3 linked regions of the Lonchura striata genome follow. The protein of the gene in region 2 purifies or fractionates together with the protein of the main gene of each other region. This does not show direct contact. Links are inferred from orthologs where the notes say so. Each region holds a gene or a part of one and is shown on either strand. Other genes may lie near its edges.

Region 1 (6,366 bases), on a different chromosome or scaffold from region 2:
GGGTGGGATGGTGTGCAGGGTGGGACCTGATGTGGAGGGTGTCCCACAGGTGATGCAGTGGACTCTTGCCTTCATCAGCAAGGATCCCTATGGGGTGGTGCTCATCATAGCACCCTGGAATTATCCCATCTAACTCTTCCTGGTGCCTCTCATCAGGGCCATTGCTGCTGGTGAGCCCAAATTTCCAGCTCCCTGGCCTGGAGGATCCCAGCAGTGCCAAGCAGAGGTAAGAGCACTTCGTCCACAGAAGGGCTGGCTGTCACCATGTCGCAGCTCCACGATCCTGTCTTCCCCAGGGAACTGTGTCATTGTCAAACCCTCTGAGGTGTCCAAGAAGACAGAAAGTCTCGTGGAAGAACTGCTGCCCAGCTACCTGGACAAGGTGGGACAATCTCCAATCCCTGTGGCATGACTGGGGCAGAGCTGTGCTCTGTGCCTGCCTCACATACCATCTCCAGCTTCACGTACTGCCCTGCTCCCTTACTCCATGCCCAGCCAGTGTCCCAGCCTCCCAGGATGCTATTGGTGGGGACAGATGGTGACAAGAGGGAGCCTTTCTCATTTCCTTGCAAGACTGCTTTGCTGTGGTGACTGGTGGTGTGCAGGAGACCACCAGGCTGCTGGAGGACAACTTTGACTGCATCTTCTTCACTGGTACGTCCCATGGGACAGAGCGGAGCCCTGCCTGGATTTTGTGTGAGGAGGAAGATGGGTTCCCTCCAGACATCCCTGCTAAGAAGGCAGGGATTGGGTTGGAGATGAGTGCCAGGATCTGTTGGAGGATCTGGGATGTGTATCTGAGATCTGGTGGGACCCAGTGCCACATCCCAGAGCCATGCGATGGCTGGTGGGATTCCCACCTCAATCCATGTTTTCCCTGCCCACAGGCAGCTCCCCAGTGGGGCGGATCGTGATGGCAGCTGCTGCCAAGCACCTGACACCAGTGACACTGGAGCTGGGGGGCAAGAACCCCTGCTATGTGTCTGACACCTGTGATGTGACCAACGTGGCGCGGCGCGTGGTCTGGGGCCGCTTCTTCAACGCAGGGCAGACCTGCATCGCGCCCGACTACCTGCTCTGCACCATAGAGATGCAGGAGAAGCTGCTCCCAGCCCTGCATGAGGCCATCAATGATTTCTGTGGCCCTAACCCCCGAGAATCCCTGGATTTTGGCCGCACTGTGTGGGACAGGCAGTTCCAGTGAGTGCAGAGTGCTGTGCAGTGGGCGTGTGGCCATTGGGGGACAGACAGATGAGGCCGAGCGCTACATCAGTGAGGCTTGGGGGTCACTCACCTCTTCATCCTTGCACAAAGCATATTTTGGGTTTTGAGAAGATTATAATGGGAAGTGGGTGCTTGGCCATGTGGCCTGTCGTACAGGAGGTGTGTCCTGGGGGGATGATGAAGGTGCCATCTCTGACCTTTGTGCCTGGCTGATGCTGTTGGGTTTCCTCTCCGCAGCTCCCACGGTGCTGGCAGATGTGCTGCCCTTGCACCCTGCCATGCAGGAGGAGATCTTCCTGCCCATTGTTGTCATTGCCAACATGGATGAAGCTCTTGGCTGTCTATGCCTTCTCCTTGGATGACAAGGTAGAGCCAAGCCAGGACTACACCTGCCCTGTGCTCCTTGGCAGCTGTATCCAGCCATGTTTGTGCTCCAGGTGTTTCCCTTACATCACACAGACCTAGTTAGGGGGTATGGATTGTGTTTGGAAGGAGAGGAATGGCGTGGGAGACCCATGTCCCATCTTCTTTGTGTCATTCCCAGGTGGTGAACCAGGTCCTGGAACAGACGAGCACTGGTGGCTTCTGTGGCAACGACAGCCTGATGCATGTGACACTGCCTTCACTGCCCTTCAGAAGCATTGGTAGGTCCAAAATCCCCAATCCTGGCCATTGGGAGCCAGGAGTGATCCCACCCATGGTGAGGAAGGGTCCCAGTAGGAACTTTCAGCTCCAGAGGGCTCGGTAATCCATAGGGAAATTCTCCTCCAGAAGCCCTTTGCTTCACCTTGGGCTCTTGGGCTTTGCTGGACATCTCTGGAGCACCCTGAGTTACTTTCTCTCCATATTCCCCATCCCAAGTTCTGTGTTTTCTGCATCCACAGAAATGTCTTGCTTAAAGCACAGGGAATCAGGGCTTGAAGCAATCTGGTCTAGTGGAAGTTGCTCCTGCCCATTGCAGGGGGGTGGAACCAGATAATCTCTAAGGTCCTTTCCAAGCTAAACTACTCTGGCATTCCATGATAGAATCACCTGCTTTTTATGGGATGATGTCCACTACCAGCTCCCATTTTTCACTCCTGTTCTCCACCTTTTATCCTCTCCTCCCTCTCAGCTGGCCAGGAGGCATCAGTGACCTCCCTTTATCCTGGGGCTGCTGATGTTTGAGGAACTGAACCCAAGGCATCACCCCAACCACAATTAGCATTTTATCAGGAAGACTGACTGGCTCAGGCTGACTCATGGAATTTTATCCCATCTGTTATCAAATGATGTGTGGATTTTGGTTTTTTTTGCCAGCCTGCCTGGCTTTCCTGTGCTTGTTCATGCCAGCCACCTTCCACTTCCCAACATTCATCCTTGGGGCTGGTCCCACCTCACCAAAGGCACCTTGGTTATTGTGCCGGTCCACCCCTGCAGTCTTGTCTCCTTGCAGCAGGGCTGGATCCAGCATGGATGGGATGTCTTTTTGAGGGTATTCCTGTGGGAGACAAGCTCATCTGCTGGGAGCCATGACCTCATCAGTGACACTCTTCCAGTTGCTAATTATGTTAATTGAAATGGTAAGATCCACTGACAAGAGAGTTTTTGGGAATTTCTCCACCTTCCAGCCTAATCTTCCTACTCCAGACATCCACTTGGGTTTGCACTAGGTCACCTCCGTGGTCCTCTTCCTAACAGAAGCTCATCCATGGCTTGGAAAGCAGCTGGATGAGGCATGGTGCTGCTTTTGCAGAGCTGGGAGCTTAATTTTGAGTTCTTTGACCCAAAGAATGGCCATATCCAGCTAGGGTCCTGTGCTGTGTATTCCAGGGAACAGCAACCTGGGAATGCACCTGGGGAAGTTCAGCTTTGACACCTTCTCCTGCCACTGTGGGTGCCTGAAGTGTGGGATGGGCTGGGAATCCCTCAATGCCCTGTGCCATCCCCCGTACAGCCAGCAGAAATTTGGGGTCACCCGGGCCACTTCCAAGGTGACATGTAAGAATTACTGTGCCCTGCTCTGAGGGTCTCCACATGCCCACTCAGGACATCTCTTGCTGCTGGTCCCCCACATTTCCCTCCATCCCAGTCCCATATTCCTCTTTTCTGGCTGTTTGGAGCTTTATTACCACTGGTACCACCAGAGCAGAGGGGTTTACTGTGCCCCTCGTTGCGTGAGAAGGTCCACAACACCCTGATCCCAAATCCTTGAGCTGGAATGATCTTGGTTTCTCCTGCTCTATGACCCCAGTTTCCTTTGCCCCATGATCTCAGTGTCCTTTGCCCCATGATCCCAGTTTCCTTCACTCCATGCTGCTCCATTTTGGGGGGCTGGTTGTGCCGGTGAAGGGATATCCGTTCCTGCTAGGCTGTGGGTTGTCCTGGCTGAATCCCACGGGGATCCCCCTGGGTGGGGGGATGGAGATAACTGGTGGAGGGAGCTGAGATAAAGACAGTTTAATAGGGAAGTGGAAACATCACCGGTGCCCGCCTCCATGGACTGTGCCGGGGATGAGGAGTCGGTGCCAACGCTGAGCCCGCCAGAGACGGAGCCGGGCTTTGTACTGAATCCAAGTGTCTGATCCGCTTCACCTTCGAGACCTCCTGGAACCTGTGGCCCGAACTGCTCCAGAAACCGGAGGGAAAGCTCCGGATCTCGGGAAGCCCTGGTAGAGCGGGACGCTCCGCGCCGGCACCGTAACCACGCGTTGCCACCGTGAACACGCGCTTCCGCTTCCGCCCGCCCTTCGGACACGCCCCCTCCTCCCGCCCCGCCAATCGGCACGCAGCATGGCCACGCTCTGCCCAATCACTGACGCTTTCCCTCTTTCTTCCCGCCCCGTGCGGCACTCCCACCAATGAGAAGGAAGTCCGCAGCCGTTCGCCCCGCCCACGACGCACCGCCCCACGCGCATGCGCAGTGGCCGCGGGGGCGAGCAGGGGTCAGGACGGCGGAGGGCGCTCGGGGCCGGTGAGGTGGGAAAGGGGCCCGGGGGAGCTTGGGGGGCCCGGGGCCGTGGGTCTCCCGGTGGCGTGTAGTGGCCGCCCAAATCCTGCGTGGGGCAGAGGGAGGGAGCCGGACACTGCGCTAGCCTCCGCCCCCATCCTCTCTGAAGGGACACGCAGAGGCTTAGCGGGACTTTGGGGTGACAGGAGAGGACGGCACACCTGGGTGCCCCTGGGAGGTGGGCGTGGGGGAGCAGGATGGTCCCTTGGGGGAACAGCTGAGTCCCTTTTAGGGGGTGGACCAGATACCCGAATCTCCTGGGGGATACACTTGGGTCTCTTAAGAGGGAGCTGCAAGGAGGGGTAGGATGTCTGGGTGCCTTGAGAGGGGTTGGCAGAGGAAACGGGATACTTAGTTCCCTAGGGGGAAGCATTTGTGGTCCCTTATGGGGTGCCAGGACAGGGGTGCCTGGGGGTCCGGGTCTCTTTAGGTGGAGGGGTGGGAATCAGGGTGCCAGTGTCCCCCGTGGGAAGTGGGGGAGCCCTGGCTGCCCCAGTCCCTTACTGTTAGTTGCTGAGGTTCTCTCTGCACCCCAGGACTGGCCATGGCAGCGCTGCGACTGCTGTACCAGGCTGCCCGTACAGGTGAGGCTGCCCAGGAATCCCCAGACCTCCTGAACCCCTCAAACCCCATTGTGACCCTACTGACCCTCCTGTCCCTCCCCAGGCCCCCTGGCCCCACGTGGCTCCCTGCGCCCACTCAGCACCAGCACCCCCAGGGACTGTTACAGTGAGTACAGCCGTGCCACCCCTGTGGGGGCTCAGCTCCCAGCCCAGGGCTCTGCAGGGTGAGCACAGCTCCCCTCTTCCCGCAGAGTATGTCAACATCCGGGAGCCAGCCATGGACATGCGATCCATCACTGACCGCGCTGCCCAGACCCTGCTCTGGACCGAGCTCGTCCGAGGTGAGACCCTGCTCACTCTCCTCATTTGTGGGGTGACATCCCCTCCCCAAATATGTCATAACTCCTGTTTCTCCCTCACAGGCCTGGCCATGACCCTGAGCTACCTTTTCCGTGAGCCGGCCACCATCAATTACCCGTTTGAGAAGGGCCCGCTGAGCCCACGGTTCCGCGGGGAGCACGCGCTGCGCCGGTACCCGTCCGGGGAGGAGCGCTGCATCGCCTGCAAGCTCTGCGAGGCCGTGTGCCCAGCACAGGTGAGACTTCCTCCCCCTCCTCCTCCTCCTCACCCGGGGCTCCAGCCGTGACGTGTCCCTGCGCCAGGCCATCACCATCGAGGCCGAGCCCCGCGCCGACGGCAGCCGCCGCACCACCCGCTACGACATCGACATGACCAAGTGCATCTACTGCGGGTTCTGCCAGGAGGCCTGTCCTGTGGATGCCATCGTGGAGGTGAGTGGGGCCTGCAGGGGGGACTGCAGGGACTCCCTTGTCCCACCACGGTGACTCCAAGGATGACCCCATCCCATCCTGGCAGGGTCCCAACTTTGAGTTCTCGACGGAGACGCACGAGGAGTTGCTCTACAATAAGGAGAAGCTGCTCAACAACGGCGACAAGTGGGAGGCTGAGATCGCGGCCAACATCCAGGCTGATTACCTGTACCGGTGATGGCCCCCACCCGTCCCCCAAATAAAGCATTTGGGAGTTCAGCCCCTCTGTTGGCACTGTGGGTGCCAGCCCCTTCCCATAACTCCGTGTCTGTTCTTTTCCAGCGCTGGGGTCAGACCCCCCTAACCCTCAGGGGGATCCCACCCCTGGGTGTGTGGTTGTGTTTTGGGTTGTCCTTCAGATCCTGGGGGTGCTGGCACCAGTGTTGGGATAGGGGGTGGGCTGCAGGGAAAAGTGTGGGAGGTGGAGGGGGGCAGGCAAGGATGGAGGAGCAGTGCTGGTGGGATTTAGGAATCTGGGAGGGTCATTTCCAGCTTCTGAGGCAGCCAGGTTGGGGGGGCCCTGGTGATCCTGTTCACAGTGGTACTGGTGTGAGGGTCCCAGTGATGCCTGTGATCCAGGTGATCCCAGCAGAGGGTCCTGATGGTACCAGTGGGGGAGCCTCTAGTGGTATTGGTATGGGTGTCCCGGTGATGCTGGTGTGTGGGTACCAGCGTGTGGTGCCTGTGGTCTCACAGTGGTACCATCGTGGGGGGCCCAGTGATCCCAGCAGGGAGATCCCAGTGCTACCAGTTGTTAGGA
Region 2 (7,306 bases):
GCCTCAAGTCAGTACAAAGGATGTTGTTTGTCTTGGGTGATGTTGGAGCACCAGCAAAGCTACCCCAAAGCCAGCCCAAGATGAGCCAGTCACCTCTCCACTCCATCCAGCCTCTTCCCATTGCTGGTTCACCTCCTCCTACTCACTGGAGCTGGCACAGTTCTTTCTGCCACTGCTGCAGAGAAACAATCTGGGAACAAAGTGCTAACTCTCACAAACCAACCAACCTGGCAGCAGTATCAGTTCACATTATTCACTCCTCCTGTCACATGCCTTTTTTTTTCCTCCTGTGTTTCCAGTAGCTTTCTGTGGACCAGCCAAACCATCGGTGATTGATAGAGCTTAGAAGAGTTAGGAGAGCTCTTCTCTTTCTTAAATCAGACCATCTGTGTGATGCTGTTTGCTCTGGGGATGTTCCTACATCCTGACACTGGCAAGAAGGATGAACTGAAACCAGAGTTACGAGAAATAATAGGGCTGTCAGTTGTCTCAACTAATATTGCAACTGAGAAGAGAACATGGGGTGCTGAAACCTGTGAGTAAAAATTCAGTAAAAAGGCATGTGTAACTGATGAAATTAATTAATTCCAGTATCAGGCTGCCTCATTCTCAAATATGCTGTCTCCTACTGTGCATTTCCAAGTCAAAGTAACCTGCTAATTGAGAAACAACATACAGGAAAAATATGGAAGATTATGTCAGGTATCAAGCCACAGTCCATCAGGAAAATTTAAATGCCATGTCTTTGAAATTAGTATTATCTGACAAGGAGCTGGTGATCTGTCTGGGCTGGTGTGTGAGTCTGTAACACTGAGCTTGCTGCACTTGCTATAAACTTCATCCACATAAGGACTTGACAAAAACTCCTTTAAATAAAGCACTGCAGCCACCTAGCCTTGAAAATATGCAAGTGTTCGGGAACATTGATCACAGACTGGAATTAAGCAAAATCCTTCAACGTAGATCCTTCTGTAGATACTTCAGAGGCCAGTAAAAGATGGATCAGTTGAAACCAATAATAGAGAAATAATCTGAATTAAGTAACAGAACAACCAAAAATCACTGAAAGGTGAAAGTGATCCATCAGTAAGTCCATCTCTCTTGAGTTCATCTTTACAAGGTTGCAGGACAGTCATTTTTACTTGGCTCATAATCAATTCTTGCTAATGCTGTGTTCTCTGGTTCTGCCTAACACTGATGAGGTAAGGAATAAAAGGATCAATGCTCTCATTGTGCTTACTGGTAAACCAGTAATCTGGATAGAGGACTCAGTTCCCTGAATCCTAATGATATAAGAATTTGCTCAAGTATCCATTTAGACTGACATCAATTATGAACAAACAACAACAGAAAGATGAGAATAGGAAAACAGTTTCAGTGGTAGAAAATGTGGACAGAATCAAATACAAACCTCTAATGCTGCTGTATAAAAGCATTCCTCATTTTCCTCTGTGGTTGACTGCTGTGCCATTCCCAGACCTCAAATCACAAAGCAAACCTCACCTGCCTCCTCTCCAAAATTCTCCAGCTGAGCAACTATTACCAAAAAATGGCTCTTATTTCACTGAAATTACCTGCCCATCTGGACTCATATTCTGATTCCTGATCTTTTGAGTAGTAAAGACAGCAAAGAAACTTTAGTAGTACCCACCCACACAGTAACACAAGTTAATGACAGGCTATTCTCCCTTCTCTAAAGCAAATTTTCAATAGGTCAATCAGACTTTTGATGCTAGTTAAATACAAAAATTAATTTTTCATTTTCCACTCAGTGATAGAACTAGCTGAGAAAGAAACAGTACACACAACACATAATCAAAATTGAGATGGAAAACAAATAGATTCAAAGAACAGTCACAAATGTACTTCTTACTTTCCAGGCACCCAGTAGCTTTAGAAATTTCTCTCTTAAGAGGTATGGAAGGATTACAAGGAGATCTAGTGTGGCAGCCTATGGCACACATATATCATGAGAGTTACAGTATTTTTCTCTGATGTGCTGTCCGGTGTTCAGAACAGGCTGCTACGAAAACTTTTTGAGAATACGTGTGTATGAATCCAGCTGGATAGTCTTCTCATGGGCTGTTTTGTTATTTTTGAATTCCCTGGAAAGACTCAGACTCCTTGTTCAAGAAAAATGCATCCCATTTGAAACTCTGTCTAAGATGAATACACATACATTCATTTTTTAATAATCACACTTGCAGATATCTATATGCTTTATATGGAAAACTATCCAACCTCTTGATTACTGATATTTAATATCAATATAGTCACATTGGTAAAATACCAAATTATATTAAAAATATTGTTTTCAATCTCTATTCTTCTGCTTGCTACAGTCTAAGAAACATTCTTCAGAATAAAAATCTTGAACTTTTGATGCATCTTTATACATGAAAAGAACAGCTTTGTGCTATCCTCAGTCGTAGGAAGTGACAGGCAGAGCATGACATCACTCTTTATTTTTAACTGACTGCTTTCTGGTGAATTTATTTTGCTGCCAGTACATATTACAGCAGTGTTAATCACATTCATGCTTTATCAAGACAGAAGCCCTGTGCTCTGTTTGGTTCTACAAGCTGGGAGTTCTTAGCTTTTGGAGGAGAAACTTTGTTTCAAATTTGCCACAATAGCTGATCCACAGATGGATCAGTAAGAATACAAATGCTAAAGTACCTGTGAAAGGTCTACAACTACCAAAGGCATCCACGGGGATTTTTGCATTACAGCCACACCACACAGATTCACCACTCACAAAAGTATCAAATCCTGGACTTAAGAACACAGGTTTAGTCAGCAAGTAATTGACTACAGATATTTAATTAAACTTGTCACCTGACTTCAGCAGATTTTAAGTTTCCAATTATCACTGTATCACTAGTCTCCTTAATTCATTCACATGCAATATCAAAAATAAGACAAGGTCAGTAAGCTTATTACCAGAGAACAAAAACATGTTTCTGTTCTCCTACAGACTGTGAGAATCTTTAAAATAAACAAATGGAGAAACTGCATCTTCCTGATTCCCAAAGAGAGCAGATATCCAGCATACACCACCATGTTTATCCTGCCTTGTTTCCACTGCCTTTCTAAATCAATTTGGCTTCTCTCTAAGGAAAACACAGCCATTCATTAATCCAGCATTAAAGCACACTGCAGCCTTGAAACTATCACATCATAATTATTATTACTAAACAATGCTATTAATAGAAGACCAAGTTCTGAACCCCAGGTTTTATATGCCCACAATAATAAGAAACACTAGGTAGATGAGGTAGATGCAAGGGCAGAAAAAAAGGTGTTTCCCACCAAAAAACAAACAAACAAAACATCCACCAAAAAAAAAAAAAACCACACACAAAAAGAAACCCCCAAAAACTACAAGAATGCTGGTCTTTTCAGTGTTCTTCATTAAATTCATTGAAAGTCCCACTTCAAGTCACTTCATTCAGGCAACTACTATCATGAACTAATTGGTGGCCCAGAAGGCACTAAGACTCTGCAAACAGCACATACAAAATTTAAAGCCATAAGGGAATTATTTGTTGGCTAATTCACACAGCAGCTGGAACAAACAAGTCATTAATCTCTCTTGGTAAGACACCTTATCAGTCGTGGCTGAATAAAGTAGTCAACCCTCAGGCTTTACTGCTTCTTGAATCAGGCCAGTAGCTCTTACTCTTTCTGCCTCCCTTTCTCTAAGGATTCTGTATATTTTCACACACTTCTTGAATCTATGAAATGACTCCCATCTCAACAATTTTGATTCTGTCGACAAATTTACCTTTCTTAACATACACGGCTTAAGGCCTTCTCAACATTTTGTCACAATTAGTTTTCACAATTTTTGCAAAGTCAGAAGAAAGTTTATTTGGTCGAGCTGCAAAAAGAGGGTCTGCACCCTGAAAGCGTTGTGTAGCCCACAAATTCCCAACACTACTGGGGAATTGTCCCTCGCTGCCGCTCCGACCCGTGCCTATCGCCGCCGATATACAAACAGCCACAGTCACGCCATGGCGTGTCCGGGGGCTCCGCCTGCAAAGGAAAGCGTGCGGCAGCCACAGCTCGCACTTCGCGAGCATTCCCGGCGGGAGCCGCCCGGGCCGGGCTCGGCTCACGCCCGCCTTTAGGAAAGGCACGGCAGGACCGCCGCCGCTTGTCTGTTCGCTCGCTTGTCTGTTCGCTCGTCTGTCTGTCTGCTCGCTTGTCTGCTCGCTTGTCTGTTCGTGTGCCCGCAGCACTCGGTTCATTCCCTTCCGGTGCACACCGCCCCTGCCCGGCGTGCCCCGCGCGCAGGCGCGGCTGGCGGCGGCGATGGGCGGGCGGGTGACCCGCGTGTTCCGGAATTTCAACGTGGAGAACCGGGCCCGCCGCGAGATCAGCAAGGAGAAGCCCACGGCAGCGCCGCGGCACCGCACCGCCCGGCTGGACGCCACGGCCGGTGAGTGCCGGCGGCGCCCGCCCGGTGCGGCGGCGCTGACATTGAGAGCGGCGCGGGCGCGCGGGGCATGCCGGGAGCGGGGCGGGGACGGCGGCAGCAGCGTGAGGGGCTGAGGGAGCGCCCGGGAGCGCTGGGGGACGGCAGCGGGGGCCGCTCGGTGGAGGTGGTTGAGGGGACGGGACCCGGGGGAAGTGGTGGGGCGGTGGGATGGCGGTACCGAGCGTGTGGGTGCCGTGTCCCGCCGTGCTGTGACCGGTGACCGGCCCAGCCGGACCGTGCGAAGCCGAGTCGCTAAGGTCAGGGCTGTGGGAGCAATGGCACCCTCCCAAGAAGGCAGGTGCGTTTGCGGGAGCCGTGCCGTGCCGCTGGGGAAGCGATGAGCTGGCAGAACTAACAAAAAGGAGACTCTTTCACTCAGATCAATCGTTTCTTCTTTTTTTCCTTCCCTTCCCTTCTTCTCACTGCCTTTAGATAGCCCAGAGATAAAAGAAGAAGTTCTCAGAAAGGACGATAGGTTCCTCACCTTGCTCAAAGATGTTTATGTCGAGTCCAGAGATCCACCGGTGCAGGTGAGTGCATCTCTCTACGACCCATACCAACATCAGCTTTGTGGTCTTCAAACTCAGCACAAAGGCTGTGTCAAGAAAAATGCTCTCTGTGCATAAAAGTTATCTTTTTTCAATAGATAAAAGTGGTATTTTTATTACTCTTCTATACATCAGTAACATTGAGTGTGTCTGACCCTGGGTTTTGAATGTGTGACAGATTGTAATTATACAAGCTTGTAAATGCAGACACAGTCTTCTTTTTTAGTATTGCGTTGATCTTACTGTTCTTCACCTAAATTCCTTTTTCTGCTTCCTATGAGGCAAGATACATCTCAAGCCTTTTGCAAAGATAAAGTAGTTTGCCAGAAATCATTTGTGGAGTTAGAAGAGACTGGGACTGCTAGGGAGCAGGGATGTGGTAGAGGACAAAGATGTTTACGCTTTAATGGAGTCTTTAACTCCTTTAAATATTGTACAGTGCAGAGACTTTTTTTTTTATCCAATTCATGAAGTGCCTTAGGTTTTTTTCCTACAATATCTTGTGGGTTGTGTGGTCATCATTTCCTTATTGCCACTGGCTGCAATCTTTTACTTTTACTTGAAAGCTAAAGCATATTCCTTCATAAAATGCAGACTGGGGCTCAGTGTCCTCTTTTCCATCATATTTTGCTATGGTTTGTGTATTTTAACTGTTTCATTATTGGACCACTTTATTCCAGCTGATTTATTCAGCAGTAAAATTTTTATGGTCATCTAGCAAAATTCCTAAGTCTCTCTAATTTGCCACTTATATGGTATTCAAGTCCAAAAATATTTAAAATGCAAATAGATTTTCTCAGTCTCTTCCTGAAATTTTCAAGAAATCTCTATCCTTAATTTCCATCACAGAGGTTAGGACTCTAATCTTGAAGTGCTGAAGTTCTAATTTCAGTATCTTTCAATATTCATGTATAAGCCTGTCAAGAGAGATTTGAGAAAAAGCCCAAAGTGGAGCAAATCTTTGCTTGATTCTATGCCTTCTCGGAGTTTACTGCCACAGACTTGCCATTGTGCTGTGTCTGCTTGCAGTTTTTAGAGCACAACTGAAGTGTAATCACAGAGACTTGTGGACAAAGCAATACAAAAGCTTTCTCCCATTCCTGATGTTATCCTGATGACTTTGTGCATTGTGTACGTGATGTGTACACACCTCTGTGTGTGTTTGGGGTGTCTGCCTATGGTAAGTGGAAAAACACCAGCTTGGGAGCCCTGAAGTGGCAGATTCCCAGAGACAGATGATCTTATTTAGAGTTGAAAAATCATTCATTATCCAAGCACAGTTTTAGCAAAAAGTAGAAGACATGGAGTGCAGGCCAGACATTCCTTGTAGCTCAGAAACAGACACACACAGGTGCTGTAATATCCACATCAGTCTTCTCAGCAACTGAGTTAATACGGAGTGTCTGTGTAATAATTAGTGGCTGTGGGCTCTGATTACTATATAAATACTTCTAAGTTTAAGAAAGGTTTAATTGTGCCTTTTTTTTTCAGTGTGATTCACTGATTAAATGTTACTTAAAGGAAATATGAGGAAGTGAAAGCTGTTTTGGAGATTATTTGGAAATATGAAGGAACCTTAGAGAAGACAGTTTGTGTGTCTACATGTTGCAGTAGTCATGGCAATTAAATTCCATATGATGCTGCAAAATAGCAGGAAAGCTTGTTCTCTAGACAGAGCAAAAGAAGGAATTTCTTTTAGTAGGAAAACTAAAATTTGGAAACAAAAGGAAAGGGAGAGAGACTACATGAAAAAGTTTTCCAGTGGTATCAGAAGGATACCAATTTGTTGTATGATTTTTTTGTCCCTTCCAGTGAATCAGTAGCGAATATTAGGCTATCTGGATTTACATTTGCCTACCAGAATCTGTAGTCTGCCTTGCATAAAGGGCTGCCAAGCCAATACAACGCTTAGAGTGCAGTGAAGAGAGGCTTTTCAGCATTTAGTTGGGAGTTGACACTCTATGTGGAATGGCTGTGAAAGAAGCTAGGCAGGCTAATCTGTTTTTAAAAAAATAGGGAAAGCTAACAGGAAAAGCTAAACAGAAAAAATATTTACGAAAGCAGTTTAGGTGCTACAGTATGCATAGTAAACAGAACTGCTGTTGAGCTCTTTTTGTTTTCCTTCCCTCGATTAGGTAAAAGATGGAGGTGGTGAACATCTTCCAAGTAAACAGGAAGAAAAGAGACTGACAAAATTAGGCCACTTGGAAGGTCTAGATGTTAAGAAAGTTCCTAAAGGCAAAATTTCCCTTGTGGAGGCTCTGACACTTCTTAA
Region 3 (7,588 bases), on a different chromosome or scaffold from region 2:
ACCTACTCTTGTGGCATCAGATTTCCCTCTGGGGTAGGTAAACCAACTCCTCCTAAACATCAGCTAAGCCTCAAAACAGTCTGCTCTCAGTTCAGCAGCCACATACTCCCCAGCCTCCTGTGTGACATTGACAAGCCAGCAGCAATCCTCCTCTCCTTCCCAACACAGATAAACCCAAACATTTTGGGTTTTAATTGTGAAACTTAAAGTTTTCACAACTGCAGGATGGAATTTGCAACTTGGGCTTTACAGAAATGATGCTGAGCAGCAAATAGCTTTGTTCAGAACCTTTCCAAAGGGGCTGATCTGACTGCAGAGGAGACACCTGGTGGAAGACAACAAGGTAACATGTCAAACCCAAAGAAATCCAGAAAACCCAAAGAAATCAAGAGCTCCAGGAGAGAAAGCAAACAGCACACTAACTAAGCCTAAAAACAGATACTAAACTAAAAGGAGCCACAGACATCAAGAGACAGTGAGGAAGAAATTCAGAAAGGAACAAAAAAAAATTAGGGAGATAGAAATATAAAATCATGCCAGTCAATATTGTGGGATCTTAAAAGCAGAAGGAGAACTTAAACAGAACATATCTGCAGAGAGAGTCAATGCAGGTTTAAATTTACAAATTTAGTAGTCTGAACAACAGGGAAGGAGATATTTCTAGTTTAAAAGGGCTTTGCTCAGAAGACGACACTTAGTTTGATGTTCTACTGCCAGAAATGCACTGCAACATCCAAGGAAGAAAATCAGGGAAGCAGAACACTCTCTGCATTGGCTTTGTGTGTGTAGAAAAATCCTGAAGGCCTAACAGGTACATAGAAGCAGTAGATCTGATATTCAGCAACTGCTCAAGAACAAGACAATCCCCTGCAAATGCCTGAGGACAAGAACAAAGAATTGTAACACCAGTGTATACAAAGTAGTAGTAGTGACAATTGTGAGTACCACCAGCGTATACAAACCAGGAGCAATGAGACATTGTAGGAAGGACAAAAATCAGTGTGGGTTAGAAAGCACTTCCAAAAACTGCCAACACACTTTAACACTCCCTCAGATTAAAAGCACATAAAGAGATGAAGGAAAAGCAGAAAGCAGCTGTCAAGAAAGAAAAGCATGCAACTCAGTAACAGATGTACAAAAAGGGCTTTTCCACATTTCAGATTTGTGTTGATTCATTAGAAGATGAGAATTCTGAGGCAATTCTAAAAGGTTAAACTCTCTTCATGCTCCTGCCTGATCAACCAGACTCAGGTCAAGGTAACAGCAGGAGCCTCAATCAAAGGCCAGAGCTGTGGGCACTGCTGGCAGGGACAAGGACAAGGACAAGGACAAGCACCAGCACAGGGCAGCTCTGCTGCCCCACATCAGGGAACACTCACTTGAACATGGTGGCGAAAGCCGCGACCCTCCAGCTCCAGCGCCAGCCGTAGCGGATGAAGCTGCGGAGACCAGCGCGGTGTGCAGATTGCTGAGGGGACAGAGAGGACATGTCACAGCTAACAGCCCCTCCTCCTGCCAGCACCCTGCAGGCCAGCCCAGGGGACCAATGTCTCCTGCCGCTGGTACCCCAGCTCCGATCAAGTCAGCCACCTTTGGAGGAAAAGCTGCTCCCAGCCACCAACGGGAAAACCAAGAATCAGTTCCAGTTTGGAATGTCAACTGGTCTTTCTAATCCTGCTGCTGAAACACGTCTGGGTGGACTGGGAGGGCTCTTCAAGGACAGGACAGCAGCAGAGGAGAAAGAGAAAAACTAGAAACTACTTCATATAGAAAGTAGTTTCTACAATAGTAGTAAGTAAATAATAACCATCTGCGTTAAATATTAAGGTATCATCAAGCTCTGCAGTTTAACACTGGCACTTAAAAGTTTGGAAAGAAGAGTTTTTTTTAAAATAAGTGGTAAACAGAGGCTTCATAAAATTTAAAAATGTTGCACTGAATACCATGAAAGTAAATAAATTTTCTCTTCCAGTGTTTGTGGTGTAGGTTCTTAGCCTGGGTCAGATATACCAGTCACCAGAGCGGAGCCAGGCAGTGGCAATTTGCAGGTCACCACATCAGAGGCCAAATTTTGTAAGTAATACAAAATTAACATCAGGCAGATTTTTAAAAAGGTTTTCTTCCTCATATTCCACGTAACCAACACTTTAATTGAATAACAAACACCTAGAAGTTCAAATACATCTACAAAATGTCACAAGTGTTCTTTGTTGTGCTGTTCTTCTAAAAGAATTTTAAATGGTCTAAAAATGACTCACATTAATAAGACAAGAGTACAATCCCAGTTTGATACTGTGAAGTCTCCTGTCAGCAGACTAAAACGCAAAAGCAGAAAGCCATTTCGAGACGTATTAATCAGCCACTTAAGAGAATGGTAAACTTTGTTACCAACCTTCCCTGTGATGAACGACGCTTTTCTGAAGCTAATTTGCAATTTGGCTAACGGGGAACCCTAATTCCTGCTAATTCCCGCAGCGGATGACCTGCACGGACTCACACACTCCCAGCAAACTTTCTGTGCCAGACCCGCACACGCGTCCCCCCGGCCCGAGCCCGGCCCCGGCCCCGCCCGAGCCCGGCACCGCCGTGCGCCCCGGCCGCAGCCCCGGGCCCGTACCACGGCATCGGCGCGGTTCTGGAACATCTCGCCGTGGCTGCTCTCGATGAAGGCCTTGCGGGCGCTGACGAAGGCGGGCAGCCCCCCGTACAGCCAGCCCACCACGCCCGCCGTGAACGCCGCCTTGGCGATGTTCACCGTCTCCTCCGGCAACTGCTGCCGCTCGCTGCAAGGCAAGGGCGGCGATGGGCGCGGGGTGGGCACGGCGGGACCGCCACCACCCAGCCCCGCCCGTCCCGCCCCGTCCCGCCCGAGCCCGGCCCGGCGCTCACTCTCGCCGCCAGAGCTCGCGGAGCCGCTCCCAGCCCGTCTGCGGCAGCGGCGCGGGGCCGAAGCCCGCCCGGGCTCCGGGCAGATCCGCCATGGCCGAGCCCGCGGCGGCGGCGGCAGCGCCCCCTGCGCCCCGGCGGGGCACTGCGAGGACGGCTCGGGACCGCTCGGAACCGCTCGGAACGGCTCGGAACAGCTCGGGACCGCTCGGAACGGCTCGGCTCTGCGTTAGTCACTGATGAACAACTCCGAGTGTTTGCCCCTTTGTGCAGGGCCGGGTTTGTTCCCCACAGCGAGAGAGGAGCTGAGTTCTGGGGGCTGTGGTGCCCGGTTTGCATAGGACAGAGGGGGAGCAACCCCCGGGCAAAGCCTGCGTGGAGAGATGGCGCCACTCATGGGGCTCACTGCCTTTCCTGAAACACCTCTGTTGTGAATTCTTCCTTTCACCAAAGAAGTGAAAGCTCCCCACCAGGAGAGGTGCCTGGGCCTTCCCACCGGGCTTGTGCATATTTTAACCCATGATTCTTGAATTCCCGGGATTCTTCCCCCACTCCTGAAGAATCATCACTTTGGCCAAGGGCCACCTAAGCTGCAACAATCAAGTGTCATCGCAAGATCTATGGGTGGAAAAGCTGGGGCTCTGCAGACCTCCTATCACTCTTCTGATGAAGAAAATGCATCCAACAAAACTTCATTTTTTGTTTTATTCCAAAAAGCCCTTCATTACAAATGGTTTTAAAATATCATACAGAGATGTTCGGTTTCTTGGAGTGCTGTCTCTCTGTTGGCTAAAAATAGAAAACCAGAAAACCCCTTCCACTCTGGCACAACTTTCCTGGGAAACCAGGTTAATGCCCCATTCTGTTTCCTTTGCTGGATGAAATAACCCCAGCACTGGTCCCAAAACCAACACACTGCCCCAGCAACCAGCACTTGATCAATAGTGCAGCTGCTATGTCCCTGTGCCAGGGCTGCAAGGCCTCTGCGAGGGCACACATTAAATGTTATTGTTCCATGCAATTTCCTTCTTCCCTGATACACACTGACTGCAGAGGGCCTGAGAGCTGTTGCTATCATCCTCTTCCATTATAATGTGCTGCTCTCTCAGCCTTGAGGCTGCTTTACCAACAAGGAGGCTCCCCTGGGAGGCTCCTGTGTCCCTCCTGGCACCCCACACTCTTCCTGTCTGGGTGCCAGAGAAGATGCTGCTGCCTCCAGCCTCTTATCTTAGGGGGCACAGAGCATTTCAGGAATTGCAGTCCTTAGCCAAGAGGCTGTGGTGGGCATAAACACAGCGAGCACAATCAGCCTGTGAGCAACTCAAAATGGGTAATGTGAGCAGTAGCTGCTACTGTGTGACTGAAGACATTCCCTCAACCAGGCTGAAGGAGATGAAAAAAGAAGTGGCACAGATGTGGGGAAGAAAAGCAAGTAGTAAAGTGAGCAGATGTATTACCAGTCTCAAAAAAAAAAAGGCCACCCCCCCCCCAAAAAAAAAACAAAAACAAAAAAAAAAAACCAAACCAAAAAAAAAAAAACAAACACTTAAAATAATCCTGGAAAGATTACAGAAGGGGATCAGAGCAGACTCTGCACTTCTGGAAAAAGGAAGTGCTGAATCTACCTCAGTGAATACTTTCTCTGGGTTCCTAAGGATGACATCCCAGGATGTCTGGCCAGGCAGCTGGTGAGAGATAATTAACAGGGGCTCAGTTGTGCAGGGCTGTGCAGGCACCCAGCTCATCTGCTGGAGGAAGAATCTCTGTCTCAGTTGCCAAGCACATCACTGGTGATGGCCCCATCACCACCGTATGCTGATCCCCTGTGAGGTAGGTAGGGTAACTCTGCAAGGATCAGTTATCCTCCAAGGGCATGTCAAAACCTTACCATCGACCTCTAAAACCCAACATAAACCCTAAGCTACCCAGAAAGTTATATAGCCCCAAATCCCAGTACCTGCGTTTGTCAGAGAACACCTAATACCCCAAGTGCTATCACCCAGCTGAGAAAACATTTGCCAAACAAAGGGGCAAGTATTTACTAGCTGAGTGCAGCTCAGCCTGTGTCCTTTGCCATGACCTTTGGTAATAAGTCCACTAAGGCTTCTCATCGACTGAATGGGATTTAGGATCATTTTGAGACAGGTAGTAACTAAGTCCTAAATGCTAACATCCCTCCTCTAGGCATGACTGACCACCCCATTAGTCTTAATCCAATATGCTGCTTAACATTCTTGAGGTGACAATATAACCAGGTCCCAGTGCAGTTCTACTGTGAAAGGTAAGTCTGAGAGAGCAAGAAATAATACTGATCTTCAGATTTCCACAGTGACCAGTTTGAGCCAGAGAGAAAAACAGAGAAGTCTCTACAGTTCTGTTTTCAGCTGTCCAGAAGTGATCTCGCTGTAGCTTTTCCTCCTTTTCACTTTGTAAGTCAAGATCTGGGAATATTCAGACAGCAGATGCTCCCAGTAGCAAGAGATGTCCTCCATCTCCAAGTGCTCAGTGATGAACTGACGTCCCCTAGAGACACACAAGTCACAGTCAGGACTGTTTTCCAGTTCCTACAAGAGTCATTAGTTTTGGTTTGGATGTATATCAACTTTCGCATTTCCTTGTTTCAAATGAGAAACAACACACACTGCTCTGTACTGTCTGTTTTAATTTTACAATTTTCATTCATGCTCACAGCTCTGACGGCTGCAGTGCTTTTGCTATCCTCAGGACGGTATTTGCTATCTGGGATAATAAATATCAGATTCCACTTATCACATGCAACTAGAGCAGCCCTGATGCATGCTGCTTCAGAGCAGCCTGGATAGATAATGTTTACAGCGCAGACACAGCTCCCAGGAGCCAGCTTGTGTCATACTGAGATGAAAGCTCCCAACCTCTGCCAGCTTTCCATGGGGTTCCTGACATGGGTCACATGTGAACTGAAGAGCTAAGCACAGCATCCTGCTCTCTGCTTCCCTCTGCTTGCTATCACTGCTCCAGCCCTCCTACTCTTATTGCAGAAGATCAGTTATACTGCACCCTACTAATACTGGTTGTCTTTGATGGGCAACCCCTTCAAAAGCAGTGTAAGACAATGTTTTAGAAGAAGACTGCCTAATAGCCAGGAAGCACATACTGCTTACCTCTCTGAAATTTCTTGTGCTATGGCATCGTTTTCCTTTACAAACTGCAAGAGCTCCCTAAAATGAAGACACATACACAGAAAAAAAAAAAAAAAGCTATGAAACAACTGGCTCAGTGGAGAACATAATCCCTTAGCTAAATTGTTGGGGAGGGTGAGGTTAAGAGTCTACAAGTGAGTGAAAGAGCTGCTCACCTCAGCACAGAAGCAACTTCTCTGCTTGATTGTTTCACATCACTTCTGGACAACTTCCTGAAATCTGGGAGCTAACACATTTTTGGCCCACTGGTTAAGTTCTTCTCCCCCCTTATCACTGTTGCCCACTTGCAAATTTAAGTGTCTAGTGCCTGCTGATTTCAGTGAGAGTGAGAATCTTACTCCAGTGTAACTGCACTCCCCAAATCAGCAAAGGATTCTCTGGGGGTAGTGATGAAAAGACCATGACCTCCAAAAATCTTTGCCTGATGCCTCAGAGTGGAGGCACTTCATGGCCTAACACAAACCATCCCACCTTCCCAAAGGCTTCCCCATGGTATGCAATGCTCCATGCAGTGGCCTCAGGCCCCACACCTGACGTCAGAGAGGTCTGACCGCACCGGGATGTAGTGGAGCCAAGGCTTCAGCTGGGGGTAGAAGAACTCCAACCACTCCTCTCCGACATGGAAGACGAGTGAGCCGCACAGGAAAAGGTGCTTCAAGCGGAAACTGGCCGCCACTCCCCGGAAATTAAACAGGTACCTTTGAAAGGAAGAGCAAAGAGAGGGACCTGATCACACATCCTGTGTGAGGAAATGCACTAAGGTGTGCTGGTCTCCAAGGAGCGGTGAACCTTCCCTGACAGGCAGCAGCTGAGCAGCACACCAGTCACTAAAACAGAGGAAAGGCATTTATTTGAAGCTGCTCACAGGAAAGGTGAGCTGAAGTTAAGGGTGTGCTGGGTGAGTTTCTGCTGTCAAAACTCACTGAGAAATTCAAGGTGTGAGGCTTTACCTCTGATAAAGGCACTGTCTGTGACAAACCAATGAGGCCTTGTGGACAATTGCCAGCAAAGCATGGAAGATCACAATATGGATTCCGTGACCCTATGGGGTCACTCAGAGGCTTTATCAACCACAAGGAAATTCTTTCCAATTCTCTCTTGCCTTTCAGTGAAGTTTTTCTGTTCATCATTGTGCTTTGCCACATCTATCTCAGGTTATTTTTTCCTCTGGGATTCTGCTTTAATCTGAATGTAATTGTTTCATAGTAACTTGGGAATGCAACCATAGGAGGTTAAATGGGCCAGCATACAACAGATGGACTTTGCAGATAACGAAGAATCCAAAAGTTTGTTTTCAGTATTTTCTGCCAAGTTAGAAAAGTGGGCTTGACTGTGGCAAGGGGGTATTTCTCTTAGCAAACTGTATCTCATAGGGATGTTTCTTTGCTTACTTGTTTTCTTGATCAAACCCACATTTCTTCTATTATATAGAAAGCTGTTTTTCCTACGGGTAAACCTCCCCAGAACATATACTGATCTTTGAAGTTAAACATTTTGAGCCGGGGGAAGAGAGTTCTTCCTTT

The links.
Region 1: the proteins of NDUFAF4 (region 2) and NDUFS8 purify together in Homo sapiens (co-immunoprecipitation; 3 studies listed by BioGRID and IntAct, with this or other methods). This does not show direct contact. The link is inferred for Lonchura striata from reciprocal best matches to the Homo sapiens genes NDUFAF4 and NDUFS8.
Region 3: the proteins of NDUFAF4 (region 2) and TIMMDC1 purify together in Homo sapiens (affinity purification with mass spectrometry; 3 studies listed by BioGRID and IntAct, with this or other methods). This does not show direct contact. The link is inferred for Lonchura striata from reciprocal best matches to the Homo sapiens genes NDUFAF4 and TIMMDC1.

Annotation. Positions count from the first base shown.
Region 1 is NC_134608.1:52,535,059-52,541,424, forward strand, and holds NDUFS8 (NADH dehydrogenase [ubiquinone] iron-sulfur protein 8, mitochondrial), read left to right. Parts: upstream 1-4,092; 5' UTR 4,093-4,119; coding exon 4,120-4,177; exon of another isoform or gene 4,178-4,182; intron 4,183-4,749; coding exon 4,750-4,797; intron 4,798-4,879; coding exon 4,880-4,942; intron 4,943-5,027; coding exon 5,028-5,117; intron 5,118-5,198; coding exon 5,199-5,371; intron 5,372-5,438; coding exon 5,439-5,567; intron 5,568-5,652; coding exon 5,653-5,784; 3' UTR 5,785-5,866; downstream 5,867-6,366.
Region 2 is NC_134605.1:75,118,466-75,125,771, forward strand, and holds the start of NDUFAF4 (NADH dehydrogenase [ubiquinone] 1 alpha subcomplex assembly factor 4), read left to right. Parts: upstream 1-4,292; 5' UTR 4,293-4,317; coding exon 4,318-4,444; intron 4,445-4,915; coding exon 4,916-5,013; intron 5,014-7,166; coding exon 7,167-7,306. UniProt on the Homo sapiens protein: Involved in the assembly of mitochondrial NADH:ubiquinone oxidoreductase complex (complex I). May be involved in cell proliferation and survival of hormone-dependent tumor cells. May be a regulator of breast tumor cell invasion.
Region 3 is NC_134604.1:14,297,115-14,304,702, reverse strand, and holds the start of TIMMDC1 (complex I assembly factor TIMMDC1, mitochondrial), read right to left. Parts: upstream 3,001-7,588; 5' UTR 2,982-3,000; coding exon 2,890-2,981; intron 2,784-2,889; coding exon 2,618-2,783; intron 1,469-2,617; coding exon 1,380-1,468; intron 1-1,379. Other genes in the region: POGLUT1 (protein O-glucosyltransferase 1), read right to left, coding at 5,253-5,409, 6,027-6,083, 6,596-6,763.